5 linked regions of the Callithrix jacchus genome follow. Each later gene encodes a partner of the first gene's protein in a complex. Links are inferred from orthologs where the notes say so. Each region holds a gene or a part of one and is shown in the gene's direction. Other genes may lie near its edges. The genes, in order: RBX1, KLHL22, DYRK2, KBTBD4 and CUL3.

Region 1 (4,177 bases):
ACCAGGCTGGAGTGCACTGGCACTACCTCGGCTCACTGCAACCTCTGCCTCCCGAGTTCAAGCGATTCTCCTGCCTCAGCCTCCTGAGTAGCTGGCACTACAGGCGCATGCCACCACACCTGGCTAATTTTTCTATTTTTTGTAGAGATGGGGTTTTGCCATGTTGGCCAGGCTGGTCTCGAACTCCTGACCTCATGTGATCCATCCACCCGCCTCAGCCTCCCAAAGTGCTGAGATTACAGGCATGTGCCACCATGCCTCTAAGAGTGATCTGGCAGTCACACCTCTGCAAGGTTAGAGATGTCAAAGGGAGTCCTGGTCTAGGCAGAAATGGGAGAGTGACACGAAGTACAGGTGCTTGTGCCGGGCGTGGTGGCGTACTCCTGTGAGTACTCACTGTGGGAGGCCGAAGTGTGAGGATCGCCTGAGACCAAGAGTTCGAGGCCAGCCAGGGCAACATAGTGAGACATTGTCTCCATTAAAAAAAAAAAAAGATCAGAATGCCTCACAAAATTCAAGAAATACAGTGACTTCAAGTGGGTTGGTTTCATTATAGCTCAAGCAGCAGACAGAGGACACGGACCGGGAAGAAATCACCCCACGCAGATGACAACTGAGGAAGGGGGAGTGGGGACTGACACGCTATAGTGAAGCCGGGCACCCCAACCAAAGGCGGTCCTAGGACTGCGACTAGGCGGGCGCAGAGGCCACCCCCCAGGCTTCGCGGGCGGGTGAGGGCAGGGCTGGGGGCCTGCTCAGTCTGGCCTTGAGGAGGGCCTTCTGAGGTCTCCCTTCTTCCCATCGAATCCCCGAGCAGTTCCCAAACAGAAATCGGAGACCAGACGGTGCCTGCGCTCCAGCCCTCTCAGGAGGACTGCACCTCGGGCCTGGCTACGAGGCGGGTCAGAGTCTGCGAAAGACCAGCGAGGGCTCTCGGGTTCTGGGGTAGGCGGCGGGTACCCACCCCCGCGCCTTCCCCAGCCCGCACTGGGAGCTGCGCGGCGACCCGGAGAGCCCGACAAGCCGGGTAGGGCTGCGGCGCAGGTCGTGCTCATGCGGAGGAAACAGCCGCCGCCCCAGCTGACGGAGTGTGGTCGGGGGCTTCCCAGAAGAGGCGGCGAGAGCAAACCCTTTCGAACATTTCCACCAGGCTAGCTCACGTAGCCTCGGCCCCGCCCCAGCCACTCCCGCCACCGCCCCCACCGGCCGACACGACGCGGGTGGGGCAATCTGCGCCAGCCCCTTTAAGAGGCGTGGTGACGTGCTCCGCCCCCACCTGCCTCTCGCGCGCCAATAAGGGGTGGGGTGTGGGAGGAGGTGCCGGGAGGCGGGGGAGTGAGGCGTGCACAGTTGCGCAGGCGCGGTGGTCGGACGACAGATCTTGTATTTCCAAAATGGCGGCAGCGATGGATGTGGATACCCCGAGCGGCACCAACAGCGGCGCGGGCAAGAAGCGCTTTGAAGTGAAAAAGGTTGGGTCTCGCCAGCACCTTCCTCAGGGAAGCTAGAGAGGCGCGGATCTGGCTGGCAGGCCCCAGGATGGTCGAGGCGCGGAGTAAAGGGTTTCATTTCAGGGCGTTCCTGGGACCGGGTACCACGAAAGGAAGCCGGGGGGCGGGTCTTAGAGTTGATCGGCGTGACGGTGGCCCACTGTCAGGGACGTGTTGGTTTCGCTGTGAGGCTGAGGGGCCAATCACGGAGCTGCTTATTGAGATACGCGGGGTTGCGATTTGGCGGCAGGAGCCAAGCGCTTGAGCTGTCACTGGAGTGGTCGAGGTGGGGGAAGGACAGGGTGGGGTAGGGTGGGTGAAATGGGGAGTCGGAGTGACTGCGGCGGTGGAGGATGGGGCAGTGCGGCGAAAGCTGGGAACAATCTGAGGTCGTACTGCATTGGAGGCCTCTGAGGGACCCCGCTGGTGATCTTGCCCCGCCCCTTTTTGAAGCTTGGGGTCCTCTCACTTTGAGGAATCCAGACTTGGTGCTCGCCGAACCGAGGCCTCCATTAACCCCATCTCTGGGCCTCACACCGTCTAAAGAGTCTGGAGTGTAGTGCTTGGCTCTTCTGAGACGTCTGTTGTCTTTTCACATAACCATCTCAGTCCTGGGTTCTCTGTCACGTCCAGAATCTCCCCCTTCCAAAATAAAAATAAAAAGCATGGTGGCATTTGTTAAGAAAATCCGAGCCCAAATCCTGTGGCATTTAGGGAGGGTTGAGTACTAGTCGTGAATGACTTGGTAAGAGTGGAAAAGCAAAAATGGAACGTGTCTTTTTATATGAAATGCCTTTTAGTGGTTTGCCACAGTTTGGGGGACAGTGTCGATTCCCACCTAACATGAAAGCTGTTCAAAATGGAGATTCTGAAATAGGGAAGATATTCCTGGAACATCTGGTTAAACACTGACATATCCCCCCTCCTAGTGCTTTTTGGTGTCTCATTGTGGCCACTGCTGCTCAGTTACAGCCAGCAGCCATATTGAAGAATAATAGAAGAGGGGCTTTTCCTCCAAGTTGAAACTGTGATGTGAAAAGTGGGAAAGAAGTTATAAGGCACTGAGAATGGGGTCTGAAAGTGATGAAGGTTTGGCAGTATTCGTAACTGAGGAAGCCAGAGTGGAATAACTGAAATGCCACTTTTAGTTAAACTCTTACTGGAATTATCTCAATACAAGACATAAAAGTTGGGAACATCTGTTTATTTTATGGTAAGAATCAAACAAAATTCTAGTGAATTCTAGAATTTGTTATAAAGTAATCTTCTAAGATTTAAGTGATGACCTTGGTCTGTGTACTGACACGGGTACTTAATTATCCAGCTTATCCCATGATTATCCATTTTATGGTCCCATGATCATCTTAGTTCATTCTGTTCCCTAGCTTTCACCTCACTGCTCATGCTTCCGGAGCTTCCTGGAAGAGCAGATACTCACTCAGATTTTGAGCTCTTCTGCAACTGCCACAAAAACCTGCACAGTAATTCAAGTTTGTGTTTATTAAGCCTACAACGGGCAGTTAAAAATTGTTCCTAATTTGTTTACATTGATACGGCTGACAATTATTTTATTTCATTTTTTTGAGGCAGAGTCACCCTTTTGCCCAGGCTGGAGTAAAGTGGCACCAATGTCAGCTCATTGCAACCTCTGCCCCCGAGGTTCAAGCAGTTCTGCCTCGGCCTGCCGAGTAGCTGGGATTATAGTCAACTGCCACCATGCCCAGCTAAGTTTTGTATTTTTACTAGAGATGAGGTTTTGCCATGTTGGCCAGGCTTGTCTCAAATTCCTGACCTCAGGTGATCCCCTCGCCTCGGCCTCCCAAAGTGCTAGGATTATAGGTACAAGCCACTGTGCCTGGCCACTAACTAAATTGTTTTATTTTATTTTATTTTGAGATGGAGTTGTGCTGTTGTTACCCAGCTTGGAGTGCAATGGCACGATCTCGGCTCACTGCAACCTCCGCCTTCTGGGTTCAAGCAATTCTGCCTCAGCCTCCCGAGTAGCTGGGACATCAGGTGCGCACTACCGTGCCCAGCTAATTTTTGTATTTTTAGTAGAGACAGGGTTTCACCTCGTTGACCAGGATGGTCTCGATCTCTTGACCTTGTGATCCACCCGCCTCAGCCTCCCAAAGTGCTAGGATTATAGGCGTGCTCCTGGCCAAAGTATTTTAAACTATAAGAAACAAAAGATGACTCATTAATTTCTGTGTTGACATACGCAGCCTTTTGGAGAATGGGAGAACATACGTGTAGTCTACCGTTGTCCTTTGATATAATAAGAATAATGTAATATCCAGAAACTTGTGTTTGGTGGTTCCCCATGGCCGAAGAGGTGGTAACTGCAGCTGCAGCATGAAGTCGTAAAGAGTGTGTGTTACAAGGAGAATGCATTGTTCCCTCTTTTTGTCTTTGCAGTGGAATGCAGTAGCCCTCTGGGCCTGGGATATTGTGGTTGATAACTGTGCCATCTGCAGGAACCACATTATGGATCTTTGTAAGTAATTGGAGGAGGATGGGAGAAAGTTGAGAAGGTTACAGAGATTGTGGCTATCTTGATGTGACCAATTTTCTTCTTCACAAGGAGATAGAAGCCTATGCTGAGCACTCGGTCTTCTGTATCTAATCTGTTGATGTGTTGGAAATAGAGTAGTTTTTTTATGATGTCCTGGAAGCATACCCAGCTC
Region 2 (3,609 bases), about 19 Mb from region 1:
TCCTCGGCCTCCCAAAGTGCTGGGATTACAGGTGTGAGCCACTGAGACCGGCTTATTTTTATTTTTTTTATTGAGATGGAGCCTTACTCTGTCACCCACGCTGGAGTGCAGTGGTGCGAGCTTGGCTCACTGCTCTGCCTCCTGGGTTCAAGCGGCGATTCTCCTGCCTCTGCCTCCTAAGTAGCTGGGACTGCAGGCACGTGCCACCACACCTGGCTAATTTTTGTATTTTTAGTAGAGACAGGCTGCTCTCAAACTCCTGACCTCAGGTGAGCCACTGTGTCCGGCCTGGGAAATGTAAATTAAAGCCATAGTGAGAGAACTACCTCATGATGGCTAAAATAAAAAGCAGTGACAATACGAAATACTGGTTGGTGACTATGCAGGGAAACTATGCTCATGCATTGCTGATGGGAATGTGAGATGGTATAGCCACTCTGGAAAACAGGTCTGGCAGTTTCTTCCAACTATCATGTGACCCAGCAGTTGCCATCCTGGGTATTTATCCCAGAGAAATGAAAACTATTCTGTACACATTAGCTGGGCATGGTGATACGTGCCTGTAATCCCAGCTACTCAGGAGGCTGAGGCACGAGAATTGCTTGAACCTGGGAGGCAGAGGTTGCAGTGAGTCAAGATTGTGCCACCATACTCCAGCATGGGCAATAGATCAAAAACCTGTTTCCAAAACTAACAACAAAAAGTACCTGTACATGAATGTTAATAGTCACTTTATTGGTAGTGGGCAGACACTGGAAACAAACCAGATGTTTCCAGAAGTGAGTGGTTAAACAAGCCATGGTACATACACATGGAATACTACTCAGCAATAAAAAGGGAACTGTTGGTGCATATTCAATACCGATTATCTGAAATTTTGAATCTTTGCATTACAGTTAACTGGTTCAGCATTCCTTGTCCAAAAGTCTGAATTGCTTCCAACAAGCATTTCCTTTGAGTACCATGTTTGTGTTCAAAAAGTCTCAGACTTTGGATGTACTCAACCTGTACATGCCCCAACCCGGTGGAACCTGGGTTGTGGTAGAAAGCCAGTGTTGAAAGATTGTATACTGATTTAATTCAGCCAACACCCTTGAAGTTACAAAAATTGTAGAAATAGAGAAGTGATTGGTGGTTTCCTGGGTTCAAGGAGGGGATTAGGGAAAGGGAAGTAAGTGGGTGTTACCCTAAAGGGTGGCCCCTTGGGATCCTGTTGGTGGTAGAACAGCTCTGTGGCTGTGTTCATGTCAGCATCCTGGTGACACTGATAACAGTAACACAGGCTCTTACCATTGGGGAAAGAGGGCACATGAGACCTCTGTATTATTACTTCCAACTACTTGTTACTCTACACTTATTTCAGAATGCAAAGTTTAATTAAAAAGAAAAACCTCCCAGACCCCTACCAGTGATAGGAGAAAACCCAAACCAAACCCTTGATGTGTGTTCTTCCTTCCCACTGCTCTGTTCAGCTCTCTAGCCTCTTGTTTTGCCACCCGCATAGCCTTGGTGTTACTGACCTGCCTGGTGACATAATTCTGCAGCCTCCACACCCTGAGGGTCTCCTCTACCTCAAAACACTTACAGTCTTGCCTTGGGGCCTTCTGTTGGCCTGCTGGGTGTGAGTGGGTGGGTTCTGAAAGTGGTAGGGTAGGGTGAGGGGTGCCCATGAGGGGGGCAGGCTGCGCCCTATAGAGATAGCCCACCAGAGGGAGTAAAAAGCCCACAGAATGCTCAGGACCAGAATCAAGACCTGTGTTATTTTTCTCCCCACATCATGAGTCAGTAGATGTTATTTCCAAACAGGTTTTGAAAGCAGGTTCAGCAGGCCAGGAGGATTGCATGGTCAGTGGGAGTGGGGGAGGGGTGGAGGCCACTGAGGGCAGGTCAGCAGTCCTCAGCGTTCTGTGGCTTCACCCAGACTGACTTGAAAAACGTGCTTTTATTTTTTTGGAGTTTCCCCATGTAAGGTATTAACTTTAGGGGCAAAGGAAAGACAAAGGTTACATTTGATCTCTGAGTCTACAGATACATCCCCTATTGGAAGAGGTTAGAGGTCAGTGACTAGGACAGTATGTCCAGTGAGAATCGAGGGAACATTCTCGTCTGCATGTGAGGAGGAACTGAGAAGTGGTGAAGCCTCACAGCATTGTCAGGCAGGTGTGGAGTGGTGAGTGGCCTTGACAGAGTCTACCCAGTCACCTTTCCTCACTGCTCTCTCACAGCAGTTCTGGTGGCTCCACACAGGTGTATGCTCACGCTGGTGCGACGCTGGAGGGGAAGATGTATATCACCTGCGGCCGCAGAGGGGAGGACTACCTGAAAGAAACACACTGCTACGATCCAGGCAGCAACACTTGGCACACACTGGCTGATGGGCCTGTGCGGCGCGCCTGGCACGGCATGGCGACCCTTTTCAACAAGCTGTATGTGATCGGGGGCAGCAACAACGATGCTGGCTACAGGAGGGATGTGCACCAAGTGAGTGGGGCCTGGGGCTGTCCACACCCATCATCGTTCCCAACCATCTCAGTTGCTGTGGATGGAAAATATGATTGCAATATGTGCCTTTTTAAAATAGACTTTTTCAGAGCAGTTACAGGTTCACAGCAAAATTAAGTGGAAGGTACAGTTTCCATACACCCCCTTTTCCCCCATACACTTACAGCCTCCCCACTGCAGATCTCTCACTCCAGAGGTGAGGGATGTCTCACAGTTGTTGAGACTGCATCACTTTTGGCACATTCTGTAAGTTTGGACAAATGTCACCGTGACAGTATCATACACATACACTTCTACCTTTTCTTATTATTATCAAAAACTTTTAGGCCGGATGTGGTGGCGCAGGCCTATAATCTCAGCTACTTGGGAGGCTGAGGTTGGAGGATGGCTTGAGCCCAGGTCAGAGGTTGCAATAAGCTGAGATCATGCCACTGCATTCCAGCCTGGGCTTTAGGCCGAGGCATGATGGCACAAACCTGTAGTCCCAGTTACTCGGGGGGCTGAGGTGGGAGGATTGTTTAAGCCTACATTGAGCTATGATCACACCACTGCTCCCCAGCCTAGGTGACAGAATGAGACCCTGTCTCTATTAAAAAAAAAAAAAAACAAACTTTGATTATAAAGTTAAGGTAACCACACTGCAGGAACTTTAAAAAATAGAGAAAGGTGTCTGGGCGCAGTGCCTCACGCCTGTTATCTCAACACGTTGGGAGGCTGAGGTAGGTGGATCACAAGGTCTAGAGTTCGAGACCAGCCTGGCCAAGATGGTGAAACCTTGTCTCTACCAAAAATATGAAAATTAGCCAGATGTGGTAGCAGGTACCTGTAATCCTAGCTATTCTGGAGGCTGAGGCAGGAGAATTGCTGGAACCCGGGAGGTGAAGGTTGCAGTAAGCCAAGATGACGCCACTGCACTCTAGCTTGGGCGACAGAGCAAGACTTTGTCTCCAAAAAAAAAAAAAAAAAAAAAAAAGAATGAGATGAGGAAAAACATTCATAATCAGGCCCTGCAGCACTACTTTTCAGTATGATCATTTTCGGTATTGACCATGTATGCACTGTACCCAGCTCAGAATGGGATGCTCTTTTTTGATCATAGTCAAAGAG
Region 3 (4,058 bases), on another chromosome or scaffold:
GCACTAGTTCGGGCCTGCACAGTAGGTCCAGCCAGAGACAGTCGGGCGGGGCAGATCATAATGGTCCTGTGACCCCAGGATAACTCAGAAACCAGGCACCTCTCGAGAAGGAAGTGCATGGCATAACTCTGCCCAGTCATCCGGGATTTGTCGGGCTTTCCCAGCTCCCTCCCCTCACTGTTGAAGTGGCAAAACCTGTGTGACCTTTGTACAGAGGCGCACCGTGTGCCACGCAGGACGAGGCGCGGTTGCAAGAAGGGAAAGCAGCTTTTTTTGGTCTCCAAGGAAAAGACAGGTTGCAGATGGCAAATTAAAAAGGCAGGGGAATTTTCCACCGGTCTTGGAAGGAAAGGAGGAAAGAGATGCATGTGAGGGGATGAGAAGAATTCGAGGTGTCGCTCCCTCAAAGCTGAAAGCTGAAAGGAAAATGTGTCTCTCCCAGTGGCGGCGCAGGGGAAAGGCTCGGAGTTGTAAGGAAATGGGAGGTGTCTCTGATGTTTATTTTTGCCTAGCAACCCACAGCCAACTGCTTCCCCAGCTGCCGTCCACACGCGCCTCTGCCTCCTCATGTCCTAGCGACTGGCAAGCGGTCACTTGGTGTCAGTAAACCCGGGAGAGTGTGTGTGGTGGAGGTGGGAGGGCAGACCCTCTTTCGCCCCTGCTCAGGGTCACCGAGCTCAGCGGCGGCCCCTCCCGGGGCTTGATTCTCCGGGGTGACCCCGGCACAACTAAGTTATCTGCGATGAATTGGGGAGAGGGGAGTGGTTAAGCGGCTGGACTCAGAATGGGGGGACGGGGACGCAGTATTGTCTGAGCAGCCATTCGGTTCGAAGAGCTGAAAATGCATTCCTGTTCAGGGGCGCGCGTGGCAGGGGAGGGGTCACTGCGGCGCTTTGGGCCGAAGGGCAGCAGCGGTAGGTTGCGCTGTAGGGCAGAGGAGGGGCGCCGCGGGGGCCAGGGAGGGGAAAAGGTCGCCGGAGGGGAGTCGAGGGGAGCGGTGCAGATGGTCCGAGGAGGCGAGCGGAGGCCGCGGAGTTTTCCGCGGAGTAGAGGGGCGACCGAGCGAGATCCGGGGGCGGGGAGGGGCCGGGCGGGGCCAGGCGGGAGGCCGGGTGGGGGTGGGGTGTGCGTGGCCGGGGCCCCCGGAGCCGGGGGCGGGGCCTGCGGCGGCGGCGAGGGCGGCGGGGGCGGGGCCGCGCGCCCGCGCCTGTGTGTGAGTGCGCGGGGGCGCGCGCGCGCGGGCCGGTGAGAGGCTCCCCAGCGAGTCGGTCTTCGGTCCTTGCGGCGCTTCCAGCTCCCCGCGCTCCTATGTGAGGGAGACGGGGAGGCCCGCGGCGCGCAGGGGAGGGCGAGGCATGTGCACGGCCCGGAGGGTGCTGCGGCCGCCCGAGGAAGAGGAGGACGGCGGCGAGGAGGAGAGCGGGGGGCTCGCGGCGGCGGGCCCGGGCCGAGGGGATGCAGCGGACTGTGTGTGTCTGGCTGTAGCAGACGCGAGGCGGCGACGAGGCGCCGGGGACCCGCGTGAGGGGCGGCCGGGAGACGGCGGTGGCCGCCAGAAGTAGCAGCAGGACCGGCGGCAGCGACGGCAGCCCTGAGATGCATTTTCCTCTCCAGCGGCCATGTTAACCAGGAAACCTTCGGCCGCCGCTCCCGCCGCCTACCCGACTGGTAAGGAGGCCGTGCCCCCACGCCGCTCCCCGGACTCCCGCCGGCCCCGGGCAGCCCCTGTGGCGCTGGCGGCCGCAGCCTGCAGGACCTCTAACAAAGTCGGCCGCACGGCGCGGGGGAGCCCCCGGGCGGACGTCGCGCGCAGCCCCCAAGGCCCCTCCGAGGGGAACCCAACGCCGGACCTGGCTTCTGCCCGCCGGGAGCCCAGGCGGGGACTGTCCAAGCCTGACGCCCCGCCCTGCGCTGCCCGGGGCTTGGCGTGGCCGTGGCGCCCTGCTCAGCTGTCCAAGCCACCTCCCGGCCGCTGGCCGCCTGGAAGGAGGGCCAGCAAGCCCCAGCGCGGCCCGGCTCCCCCACCGGGTCGCGAACTCGCGCGCCAGGGCCTGACCTAACTTTGCAGCTGCCGGCGCCCCGCCCGTGGGTGTGCACTGGGGAGCCGTGACCCGAACGCCCGTTTTTACTGCCCCGGTCTCTTCCTTCGTCTTTCCCTGGAAGAGCGGTGTGGCTGCCCAGTGGGGTGGGAGGGTCCGGGTGACTGTCTCCCCCCTGACCCTCTTTTGTCTCCTCCCGCACGTGGCTTCCAGGCCGAGGAGGGGACAGCGCCGTTCGCCAGCTTCAGGCTTCCCCGGGGCTCGGTGCGGGGGCCACCCGGAGCGGAGTGGGGACCGGCCCGCCCTCCCCCATCGCCCTGCCGCCTCTCCGGGCCAGCAACGCTGCCGCCGCAGCCCACACGGTGAGACCCAGCCCGCGGGCGGCCTGGGCGGTGGGGGCGGGAGGGGCCCCAGGCAGACGCACCCGGACTTGGAGGGTTCTGAGGCCGGGAAAAGAGGGGTCGAGATCCGAGCAGCCCCACGCCCCGGGCCGGTGGCCTCTTCTCGACGCCGCCGTGGTGAACTTGGGCGAGCCCAAAGCTGCAGCCACAAAGGAAGATTCGTGGCGTGGGCCCCTCACTTCCCCTCCGGAGCCCGCCCACCCCTGAGCTCCTCTTCCTAGGAACTTCCTCCTTGCTGCTTTCCTTCTGTCTTTCCTCATTTTTCGTCCTTGCTTCTCAGTGCTCCCTTCCCTGACCCGGTAAACATCCCTGTCCTTCCCCCACATCCCCATGGGTAGTGGGTATTTATAGAAACAGATACGTGTTAGGGGACAGCCAGACCGGCTTGCCCGGAAAATCGATCCCCCAAAGAGCCTCCCAGGCCTGGCTCCAACCAGCAGGGAGCATCGCCAATTGTCCCCCGCGTGTGTAAGCATGTTTTATGAGTGCTACAGGTTTGAGCACAGCAGAAATTGTAATTAACGTTAACAAAAATAAGAGCCGCGGCAGCAGTCAAAACAAGACACCCCTGTAGGATTCTGCAGTTGGACATTATTCAAAATGAAAGGGCAAGCATTGCTTTGGAGATGGGAAGGAAAAGGCACCTAACAGGTGCTGTGCTCTCAGAGGGCCCAGAGGGAGGGAAGAGGCCGGCGTGGGACTAGTTTCTGGTGGCTGCGGAGACTGGCCAGCTGGATTCAGCATGTACCTTTTCTCAGCTCCCAGGGATCACCCTTGGATGGTGATGGCCAGACTGGAGGAGGTCTGCGCTTGGAGGAGGTGCTGGTTTGGAGGTCTTTTTTTTCCAATGGGATCTTCCAGAGGAACAGCCTAAGATGGGTCTATGTGAGGAATGCTTGCTAGCTAGCGATTGGTTTTATATGCCAAGTGAAAGTTGAGTTCTTGAAGAAAAGGCCATCCCCGGCCTACAGGGGAGTAGCTCTGGGGAATCATATGTTATGGGAAAACTTGTTTGTCAGAGGAGAACTGTGAGGGGATGTCTAGACTCTAGTTGCACCTGTTAGACCTGGACAGATGTGTGCAAGTTTCATAGGAAAATGTTTTGTTACTGTTACTATTTTACCTCTTCCCTCTCTGTCTATCTTAACACATCTGGTCTCAGGGGCTGGGAATTCATTGCACAGAAGTTAGCTAATCCGTGTTGGACGTGGATGATAGTAGGATGGATGGTTCTGTGTATTACTGTTAAGTGTTCTTGTCACAGTGATATTTTAGTTAAGGGACTGCTGTTGATTTTAGGGGTTTGGAATTTGTTTTTGTTTGGGATCATCTGACAGTTTGGAAAATGGAATATCCAGTTTTTTTCTATGTGTTGATGTAATCACATGACATGGTGTGAGCTGGGAAAAAAGTATTTGGTTTACATGTGGATTCCAATTTTGTAAGGATGGGCTTTGCTTGATCAGAGCCTCTTTGCAATTGAAAAACATGTAATGAAATTAGACAAAACGACAAGTCTCCACTGGAGGGAGAGCCTGTGGTGTACCAGAAAAGGAAGGATGTGAATGTGCTTCTCAGTACACCTCATAATGGAGGCCTGTATTTTGCCGTGGCATTT
Region 4 (4,116 bases), on another chromosome or scaffold:
AGGGCATCCTAGGGCAAGGACAGGCATCTAGAGCCCCCCGCCAGTAGTTCAAAGAAGAGCGCTGCCCGCACATACTCACGGCGCGTGTCGGCCCCGGCACTCTCACGCCTCACCGGCAGCAGAACCAAGGGTCGCCCAGCCCCTGCACAGGGAGATTAAAAGGCACAAAAGCACGGGGTGAGGCCTAAGGAGCTCTCTCCGCTGGGCGCGCCGCTGCTCCTGACCCTGGTCTCAGCTGGCTGCCCCTGCTCACCTCTGGTCAGCGCCGCGGCCCCCACGATCCCGCGCCACCAAAATCTGGTTGCCAACGTCGCCATGTTCCCCGGACACAAGGCAGCGGAAGACAAGACCGCAGGACACGAAGCCGCAAGGGCACGGACCGGAAGCGGAAATGTGCAGCAGATCTTCTTCCGGGCGGACGTGGAGCCGGAAGCAGAGGTTCCGGGATCCGGGATGAAAGGAGGGAACGCAGGTGAGAAAGCGAGACAGGCAGGTAGGGGAACCGTGGGGTGAGCGTAGTCCTAGCTCCGTGTGGCAGAGCCTGGAGAGAAGGCGAGGATGCTGAAGAACCAGACGGGTGAGAGGATGGGAGGGGCCGGGCTTTCTAAGTTCTACGCTCCACACTCCTCCCCCGGTCTCTGAGCCAAGCTTTTGACGAGGGCTGGCGGGCCTGAGCAGTAAGAACGGTTTCCCTGGCGACCGTTTCCCAGGCGACTTTAGGTGGAGCGGGGACAACTGGGCGATGGGCCTCCTAGTGCCCCGGCCTGGGGGCGGCTGGACTCTGGAGTTCTGGGACGCAGCCACAGGGAGTCATTCGAGCGAGCAGGAAAGTGTAGGGGAAGCAGCCCAGAAGAGAGCAAATGTGAGACCGACGGATATCCCAGATTAGGCCTCATATTGGAGCGTCTGAACTCCATGCGCGGGGCAAGAGAGGACCTGGCCACTAAGCCGGGGCAGGGAGTCCTTTTTGTCTGATTCTACTGACCCTGAGCTTCACCAGTTCTATGCCCCAGTTATTTGGTTAGGCTTTTACGTTCACAGACCTTCCCCAGCCCTTTGCTGTCATATATTGACCTAAATCCCAAGTCCTTTGTTAACATCACGGAAAGGAATTATTCCGTGTTTTTTCAGGAAAACACCCAGAGTTGGAACTTTGATTTATTTCGTTAGCGGAGGGACACCACTGGAGAGAATGAACCCAGCTCTGGTTAAAGGATAGCATCAGGGACATCATGGGCAGGGCCAGGACTAAGGGCAATCTGGACCCACTTTGTTCTTACTTTTTCCTTTTCCCTTACTGAGTTGGCCAGTTGGATTCACAGACTATGGCTGTGAATTCCTCAAGTTACTCAAGGTGGTGTTGCTTTGCAGACAGCTGGCAGAGAGAGAAATTGGCTAGCATGGAATCACCAGAGGAGCCTGGAGCATCCATGGATGAAAACTACTTTGTGAACTACACGTTCAAAGATCGGTCACACTCAGGCCGTGTGGCTCAAGGCATCATGAAACTATGTCTAGAGGAGGAGCTCTTTGCTGATGTCACCATTTCGGTGGAAGGTCGGGAGTTTCAGCTCCATCGGCTGGTCCTCTCAGCTCAGAGCTGCTTCTTTCGATCTATGTTCACTTCCAACCTGAAGGAGGCCCACAACCGAGTGATTGTGCTGCAGGATGTCAGCGAGTCTGTTTTCCAGCTCCTGGTTGATTATATCTACCATGGGACTGTGAAACTTCGAGCTGAAGAGTTACAGGAAATTTATGAGGTGTCAGACATGTATCAGCTGACATCTCTTTTTGAGGAATGCTCTCGGTTTTTGGCCCGCACAGTGCAAGTGGGAAACTGCCTTCAGGTGATGTGGCTGGCAGATCGGCACAGTGATCCTGAGCTCTATACTGCTGCCAAACACTGTGCCAAGACCCACCTGGCCCAGCTGCAGAATACAGAGGAATTTCTCCACTTGCCCCACCACCTACTTACAGATATCATCTCGGGTAAGTTTAGGGAAGGGACACATCATACCCAGTCACTTGGCTATGATGTTTAGTGAATGTTCTAGTCTAGGAGAAAGAAACCATCAAACTTCCTGGTGTTAGTTTACATTATTATTCCTACATTCTTACTGAGATAACTTGCCCAGAGAGATTGAGTTGGGATTCACTGTAATTGATGTCAGAGACAGTGTTAGAGGAAGAAGCCAGGAAACTGAAAGCACAACACTTGACCACACACAAAGTAGTGAGGAGTAATTTGTATTATACTCTACTTACTCCTGTACTTTGCATGTCCCTCTGGGTCCACTTACCTATGTAAATTGGTGATGAGGCAAAATATCTAAGACTAAAAACTTTTTTTTTTTTTTTTTGAGGCAGAGTTCAGCTCTTGTTGCCCAGGTTGGAGTGCACTGGCGTGATCTCAGCTCACTGCAACCCCCACCTCCTGGGTTCAAGCAATTCTCCTGCCTCAACCTCCCAAGTAGCTGGGATTACAGGCATGTGCCACCACATCTGGCTAGTTTTGTATTTTTAGTAGAGACAGGGTTTTTCCATGTTGGTCAGGCTGGTCCCAAACTCCAGACCTCAAGTGCCAAGAACCCACCTCGGCTTCCAAGTGTTGGGATTATAGGCATGAGCCCACTGAGCCCGGCCTAAAAACTTTTTTAGTGATGGGCTAAAAATAGGAAATAATCCTGATCCAGCAAGTGAGATACAACCATATTTAAGGTGTGAGCTCAGCCAGGCGTGGGCAATCACTTGAACCCGGAGACAGAGGTTGTAGTGAGCCCAGACTGCCCCACTGCACTCCAGCCTGGGCAACAGAACAAGACTCTGTCTCAAAAAAAAAAAATAAAAGTGGTCAGGCGCAGTGGCTCATGCCTATAATCCCAGCAATTTGGGAGGCTGAGGGGGGCAGATCACCTGAGATTGGGAGTTCAAGACCACCCTGACCAACATGGTGAAACCTGCCAATACTAAAAATACAAAAAAATTAGCTGGGCATGATGGTGCATGCCTGGAATCCCAGATACTCAGCAGGCTGAGGCAGGAGAATTGCTTGAACCTGGGAGGTGGAGGTTGCAGTGAGCCGAGATCGCGCCATTGCAATCCAGCCTGGGCGACAGAGTGAAACTCCATCTCCAAAAAAAAAAAAAAAAAGAAAAGTGTGAGGTCTACAGCCTGCTAGGTTGCTTCCATGGCAGATGGGAGCATATCAAGCCATCTATTTTGATTTTAAAAAACAGGGTACATACTCTGGTTTCTCTTCAGATTGTATAAATCTTTTTTTTTTTTTTGAGACGGAGTTTCGCTCTTGTTACCCAGGCTGGAGTGCAATGGCACGATCTCGGCTCACTGCAACCTCCGCCTCCTGGGTTCAGGCAATTCTCCTGCCTCGGCTTCCTGAGTAGCTGGGATTACAGGCATGCGCCACCATGCCCAGCTAATTTTTTGTATTTTTAGTAGAGACGGGGTTTCACCATTTTGACCAGGATGGTCTCAATCTCTTGACCTTGTGATCCACCCGCCTCAGCCTCCCAAAGTGCTGGGATTACAGGCTTGAACCACCGCGCCCAGCCAGATTGTATAAATCTTTTGCCTTTTACTAAAGATTTCCATGGAAAGGAACAGTTATGAGTCTTTACCCAATTTTTTGAGGCCTCATAAAACACCTGAGACAATCTTTAAAAAAAGGAAAGGCACACCAGGCATAGTGGCTCATGCCTGTAATCTCAGCACTTTGGAAGGCTAAGGAGGGAGGATCGCTTGATACCAGGAGTTTAAGATCAGCCTGGACAACATAGTGAGACCTTGTCTCTACAGAAAATAAGAAAATAGCCAGGCCTGGTGGCATGCACCTGTAGTCGCAGCTACTTGGGAGGCTGAAGCAAGATTGCTTGAGCCTGGGAGGTTGAGGCTATGATGACCATGATTGCACTCCTGCCTGAGTGACAGGGTGAGACCCTGCCTCAAAAAAAAAAAAAGGCAATTTTAGGCTAATTTCATGTATGTGTGTGTGTGTGTGTATATATATATATATATGCATGCCCAGTGGTAGTCTAATAAAGTGGTTCACATCTTTAAAGTCCCTTACTCTGAATTCCTCTTTTGGATTGTCATTGACAA
Region 5 (3,609 bases), on another chromosome or scaffold:
GACTGAGGCCCACTGAGGGAGGGGAATATGCAAAAAACGCCCATCTGCACACCTACCTCACATTTTGACCATTTCCGGTTAAGCAACTCATCGATAACAAATTGAAGAGTTTGAACTTACACACACGTTTTTTAAAATTATAGAGATGACCCTTGAACAGTGTGGGCCATAGGGATGCTGATCCCCTGTGTAGTCGAAAGGCCACATAAAACCTTTAACTCCCCAAAAACTTACAGCGTGTGTTGACTGGAAACCTTAGGGATAAAATAAACAATCGATTAGCATATATTTTGTATGTTACATGTATTGCATATTGTATTAAAGTAAGCTAGAAAAAAGAAAGTGTTATTAAGATCATTATATGGAAGATAAAATATAATTTACTGTTCACTAAATGGAAGTGGATCATCCAGGTCTTCATCCTTGTCTTCACATTGAGTAGGCTGAGGAGGAGGAGGAGGAAGAAGGATGGCTTGGTCTTGCTGTCTCAGGGGTGGCAGGGGAGGAAGAAAATCTACTTCATTGACTTGTGCAGTTCAAACTTGTGTTCTTCAAGGGTCAACTGTATGTTATAAAACCGTAAACTTAGAAATTTCTTTATCCTTTTACTGTATCTAATATGAATTACTTAAGTACCATAAATTTATAGTAGCACATCACCAACAAAGTCTCATCTGTAAGCTTTTATCAAAGTACTCATAAGGGTGTATATATAAAACACATATAAGAATATGCATGATTTTTTAGTGCATATTTGCCTTAAAGGTGGTTGACTAAAAAATTACAGACCAATGAGTACTATTGATAGAAATTCACAACAGTGTTCCAAACCCAATTAACTTGCTAAAAGTAAAGCTAAACTGGTACTAGTTTGTAATGAAATGATGATAATAACAATAACTGAGGACCAATAAACATAAGACTGTATTTATAAGGTAACTGTAACCAGGCATCTTTCCTGAAAACCGTAACTCTCTGAGCAATTAGCAGTAGGAATTTTGTAGCGTTGCCGAAACAGATGTCTTAATAGAAAGGTAAAGTGTTTATTCCAGTAATATGCTTTTTAAAAAATAAATGAATACAAAATTTTTAACTCTTAATATAATTCACTAGGTCATTTATGATAGCTATTGGTTAGACAAAAATTGATCTTGGTGAATTTTGGTATCACTTACCCGTAAAGAAAGAAAGAAAGGACTTGCTGCCTTCCCCCCTCCCCCTTCAAATTGTTTTATAGCCCATCAGGAAGACCTTTGTGGCCTGCATTGGTGAGCCTGGACCATGCTTTATTAATTACTAATTTATAATATAGAAAAGGGTCTTTATTTTCTAATATGTCAACTAGTTGCAGATATTTTTGACAGTATTTCTAATCTTTGCATTAGCTTGCATTTTTTTTATTACAGTAGATAACATACTAATAGAAAAATTGTTTATAAATCAAGATTCCAAACTATGCTACAGTGATACTTACATGTATGTATGCATAAAGACATATATGTATTATTTTTAATAGTGGAGAGAGGCAAGATTTTAGTTTGGCGTGTACATGTATATTCTTAGGAACTTGATTATCTCAAGAATTAAAACTGTTAAGAAAGTGAGAGATAGTTGCGAAATTTTATATGTAACTTACATTGACTACGTGTCTTCCAGTATATAATTCTTCAATATAACCATTAAAACTACTATCAAATCTGTTAAAATCAGTTGGGGTAACATTTGCAATTTAGTGGAACTTTTGTAAAGCTGTGTTAGCAGACAATATTAATAGTTATTTTAAAGCTCTTATTTCTCAAACTTTAGTGTATATGTCTACTCGTTTGAGAGTGGGAGTGGGTGGCAGGAAGACTTTAGTAACTAGCAGTATGCCAGCAAAGCTTATGGTAAACATGATGAATCTTTCTGGTTATAATTTTACATTAAACAAATCAAAAGAAGAACATCCCATTCTGTTGGAGTCAGATGCTTCTATACTTTTGACCCTCATTGGTGTGTATTTACTTTTTCTGCTGGTTTTTGGAGTACATTGGCACAGTTTGAAAAACATTGCTTACAGATAAAGTTTTAATTTAGTATTATGTACATACCAAAGCCTTTAAAGGTTATAATTCAGACTATCAATCTTTGTAATGAGAAATTACACAAAATGCTTATAGTACTTATTTTACTTAGGCTGATTTGTTATAAACACTGTAGAAACCCAGCTAAGAGCAAAACCACATTTTTTCTATGTTAAAAATACTACATTTTTAAATTGCAGATGGAAAGCCAGAAATTTTTAGCAGAAAATAGTGCTTCAGTATATATAAAGAAAGTAGAAGCTAGAATTAATGAAGAAATAGAACGAGTGATGCACTGCCTTGACAAATCAACGGAAGAACCAATTGTAAAGGTGGTTGAGAGGGAACTCATTTCCAAGCACATGAAGACTATAGTAGAAATGGAGAATTCTGGGCTAGTACATATGTTGAAAAATGGAAAGACAGAAGGTAAGTGTTACCTATTGAAAATAATAAAATTCTTATTCTGCCATATCAATATTTTTTAAATTTTCCTACAATTAAAGCAGATAATAACAGTTTTCAAGAAGTTGTGGTGTGTGTTGTTAATTTCTCTCCGTTGTTACTCTGATGGGATTTCCAAGCTTGATACTGTCTTACTAATGAAGATTTTAGACATTTCTAATTAATTGAGCATTTCTGGTCTTTCAGTTTAAGTCTCCTCATTTTGTGTTTCTCTTAACCCAGAAGATAAAAGGTGTAATAGTATTGGTGAGGCCAAGGAGCCCCTCATTCGTTCCTGTACTTGTTGTATACCAAACAAAGGGTTTGGGCTCTCTTGTGGTTTTGTGATTATCTTAAAAATCTTAAATTTCCATCTTAAGATTTCTGTAGACTTTCCTTTGGGATTTAGTTATGATAGGGTTCTGAAAATGCAAAAATATTTGTATCTTCCCTATTGATATGTTTAAATAAATTAAATTGGTTTGGGGAACACTGAAGTTACAGAATGGAAAAGGAAGAAGGAGGATTGTATAAAAGCAAAAAACACTTTTGAGGTAAACTATAGCATTTTTTAAATCACAATATTTATTTTCCAGGGGTTTTAAAAAAAAATCGTGAAAAGTATCCTAGAAGAAGTTGTAAATCAAAGAATAATAACCATATCCTCCCTTCTTAGTTTCTGATGCTTTGTTTTAAAACTTTGCCTTTACCACTGATACGGTATTAGGAAATTAAAAAAAAAAAAAAAAAAAAAAATGGTTGTCCTACTTCCTAGATGAAATCTCAGCAATATTTTATCCACTTCCTTTTAGTAAAAGAAATATATATTGCCTTTTGGGGTCATGACCTATGGAGAAAATAAAGAAAGGTTTTTAAAGGAGAATTATAACGAGGAGGAGGATACAAGAGAAGGGAAAAAGAGCTGGTGGGAAGTTGAGCCATGTTTATCTCTAGTGGAATCCTTACCTTGTGTTTTAAAATTGTTACATTGTTGTATATATGATAAATTACTGGAAAGTTATACTTAAAAAATTTTTTTCAGCTAGAGGGGCTTTCTTTTTAAAAGACTCTTCTATTAAACCTTTTTTGTAACAGCAAAAAA

The links.
Region 2: RBX1 (region 1) and KLHL22 share a complex: the UniProt entries of both Homo sapiens proteins name them as parts of the BCR(KLHL22) E3 ubiquitin ligase complex. The link is inferred for Callithrix jacchus from reciprocal best matches to the Homo sapiens genes RBX1 and KLHL22.
Region 3: RBX1 (region 1) and DYRK2 share a complex: the UniProt entries of both Homo sapiens proteins name them as parts of the E3 ligase complex. The link is inferred for Callithrix jacchus from reciprocal best matches to the Homo sapiens genes RBX1 and DYRK2.
Region 4: RBX1 (region 1) and KBTBD4 share a complex: the UniProt entries of both Homo sapiens proteins name them as parts of the BCR(KBTBD4) E3 ubiquitin ligase complex. The link is inferred for Callithrix jacchus from reciprocal best matches to the Homo sapiens genes RBX1 and KBTBD4.
Region 5: RBX1 (region 1) and CUL3 share a complex: the UniProt entries of both Homo sapiens proteins name them as parts of the BCR(ARMC5) E3 ubiquitin ligase complex. The link is inferred for Callithrix jacchus from reciprocal best matches to the Homo sapiens genes RBX1 and CUL3.

The regions. Positions count from the first base shown.
Region 1 is NC_133502.1:191,768,012-191,772,188, forward strand, and holds the start of RBX1 (E3 ubiquitin-protein ligase RBX1), read left to right. Parts: upstream 1-1,373; 5' UTR 1,374-1,394; coding exon 1,395-1,472; intron 1,473-3,908; coding exon 3,909-3,987; intron 3,988-4,177. UniProt on the Homo sapiens protein: E3 ubiquitin ligase component of multiple cullin-RING-based E3 ubiquitin-protein ligase (CRLs) complexes which mediate the ubiquitination and subsequent proteasomal degradation of target proteins, including proteins involved in cell cycle progression, signal transduction, transcription and transcription-coupled nucleotide excision repair.
Region 2 is NC_133502.1:210,359,153-210,362,761, reverse strand, and holds part of KLHL22 (kelch-like protein 22), read left to right. Parts: intron 1-2,247; coding exon 2,248-2,481; intron 2,482-3,609. UniProt on the Homo sapiens protein: Substrate-specific adapter of a BCR (BTB-CUL3-RBX1) E3 ubiquitin ligase complex required for chromosome alignment and localization of PLK1 at kinetochores.
Region 3 is NC_133510.1:51,480,701-51,484,758, reverse strand, and holds the start of DYRK2 (dual specificity tyrosine-phosphorylation-regulated kinase 2), read left to right. Parts: upstream 1-1,209; 5' UTR 1,210-1,619; coding exon 1,620-1,668; intron 1,669-2,252; coding exon 2,253-2,401; intron 2,402-3,104; exon of another isoform or gene 3,105-3,259; intron 3,260-4,058. UniProt on the Homo sapiens protein: Serine/threonine-protein kinase involved in the regulation of the mitotic cell cycle, cell proliferation, apoptosis, organization of the cytoskeleton and neurite outgrowth. Functions in part via its role in ubiquitin-dependent proteasomal protein degradation.
Region 4 is NC_133511.1:112,633,231-112,637,346, reverse strand, and holds the start of KBTBD4 (kelch repeat and BTB domain-containing protein 4), read left to right. Parts: upstream 1-1,220; 5' UTR 1,221-1,325; coding exon 1,326-1,989; intron 1,990-3,552; exon of another isoform or gene 3,553-3,670; intron 3,671-4,116. Other genes in the region: NDUFS3 (NADH dehydrogenase [ubiquinone] iron-sulfur protein 3, mitochondrial), read right to left, coding at 80-142, 254-317. UniProt on the Homo sapiens protein: Substrate-specific adapter of a BCR (BTB-CUL3-RBX1) E3 ubiquitin ligase complex which targets CoREST corepressor complex components RCOR1, KDM1A/LSD1 and HDAC2 for proteasomal degradation.
Region 5 is NC_133507.1:146,241,673-146,245,281, reverse strand, and holds part of CUL3 (cullin-3), read left to right. Parts: intron 1-2,263; coding exon 2,264-2,492; intron 2,493-3,609. UniProt on the Homo sapiens protein: Core component of multiple cullin-RING-based BCR (BTB-CUL3-RBX1) E3 ubiquitin-protein ligase complexes which mediate the ubiquitination and subsequent proteasomal degradation of target proteins.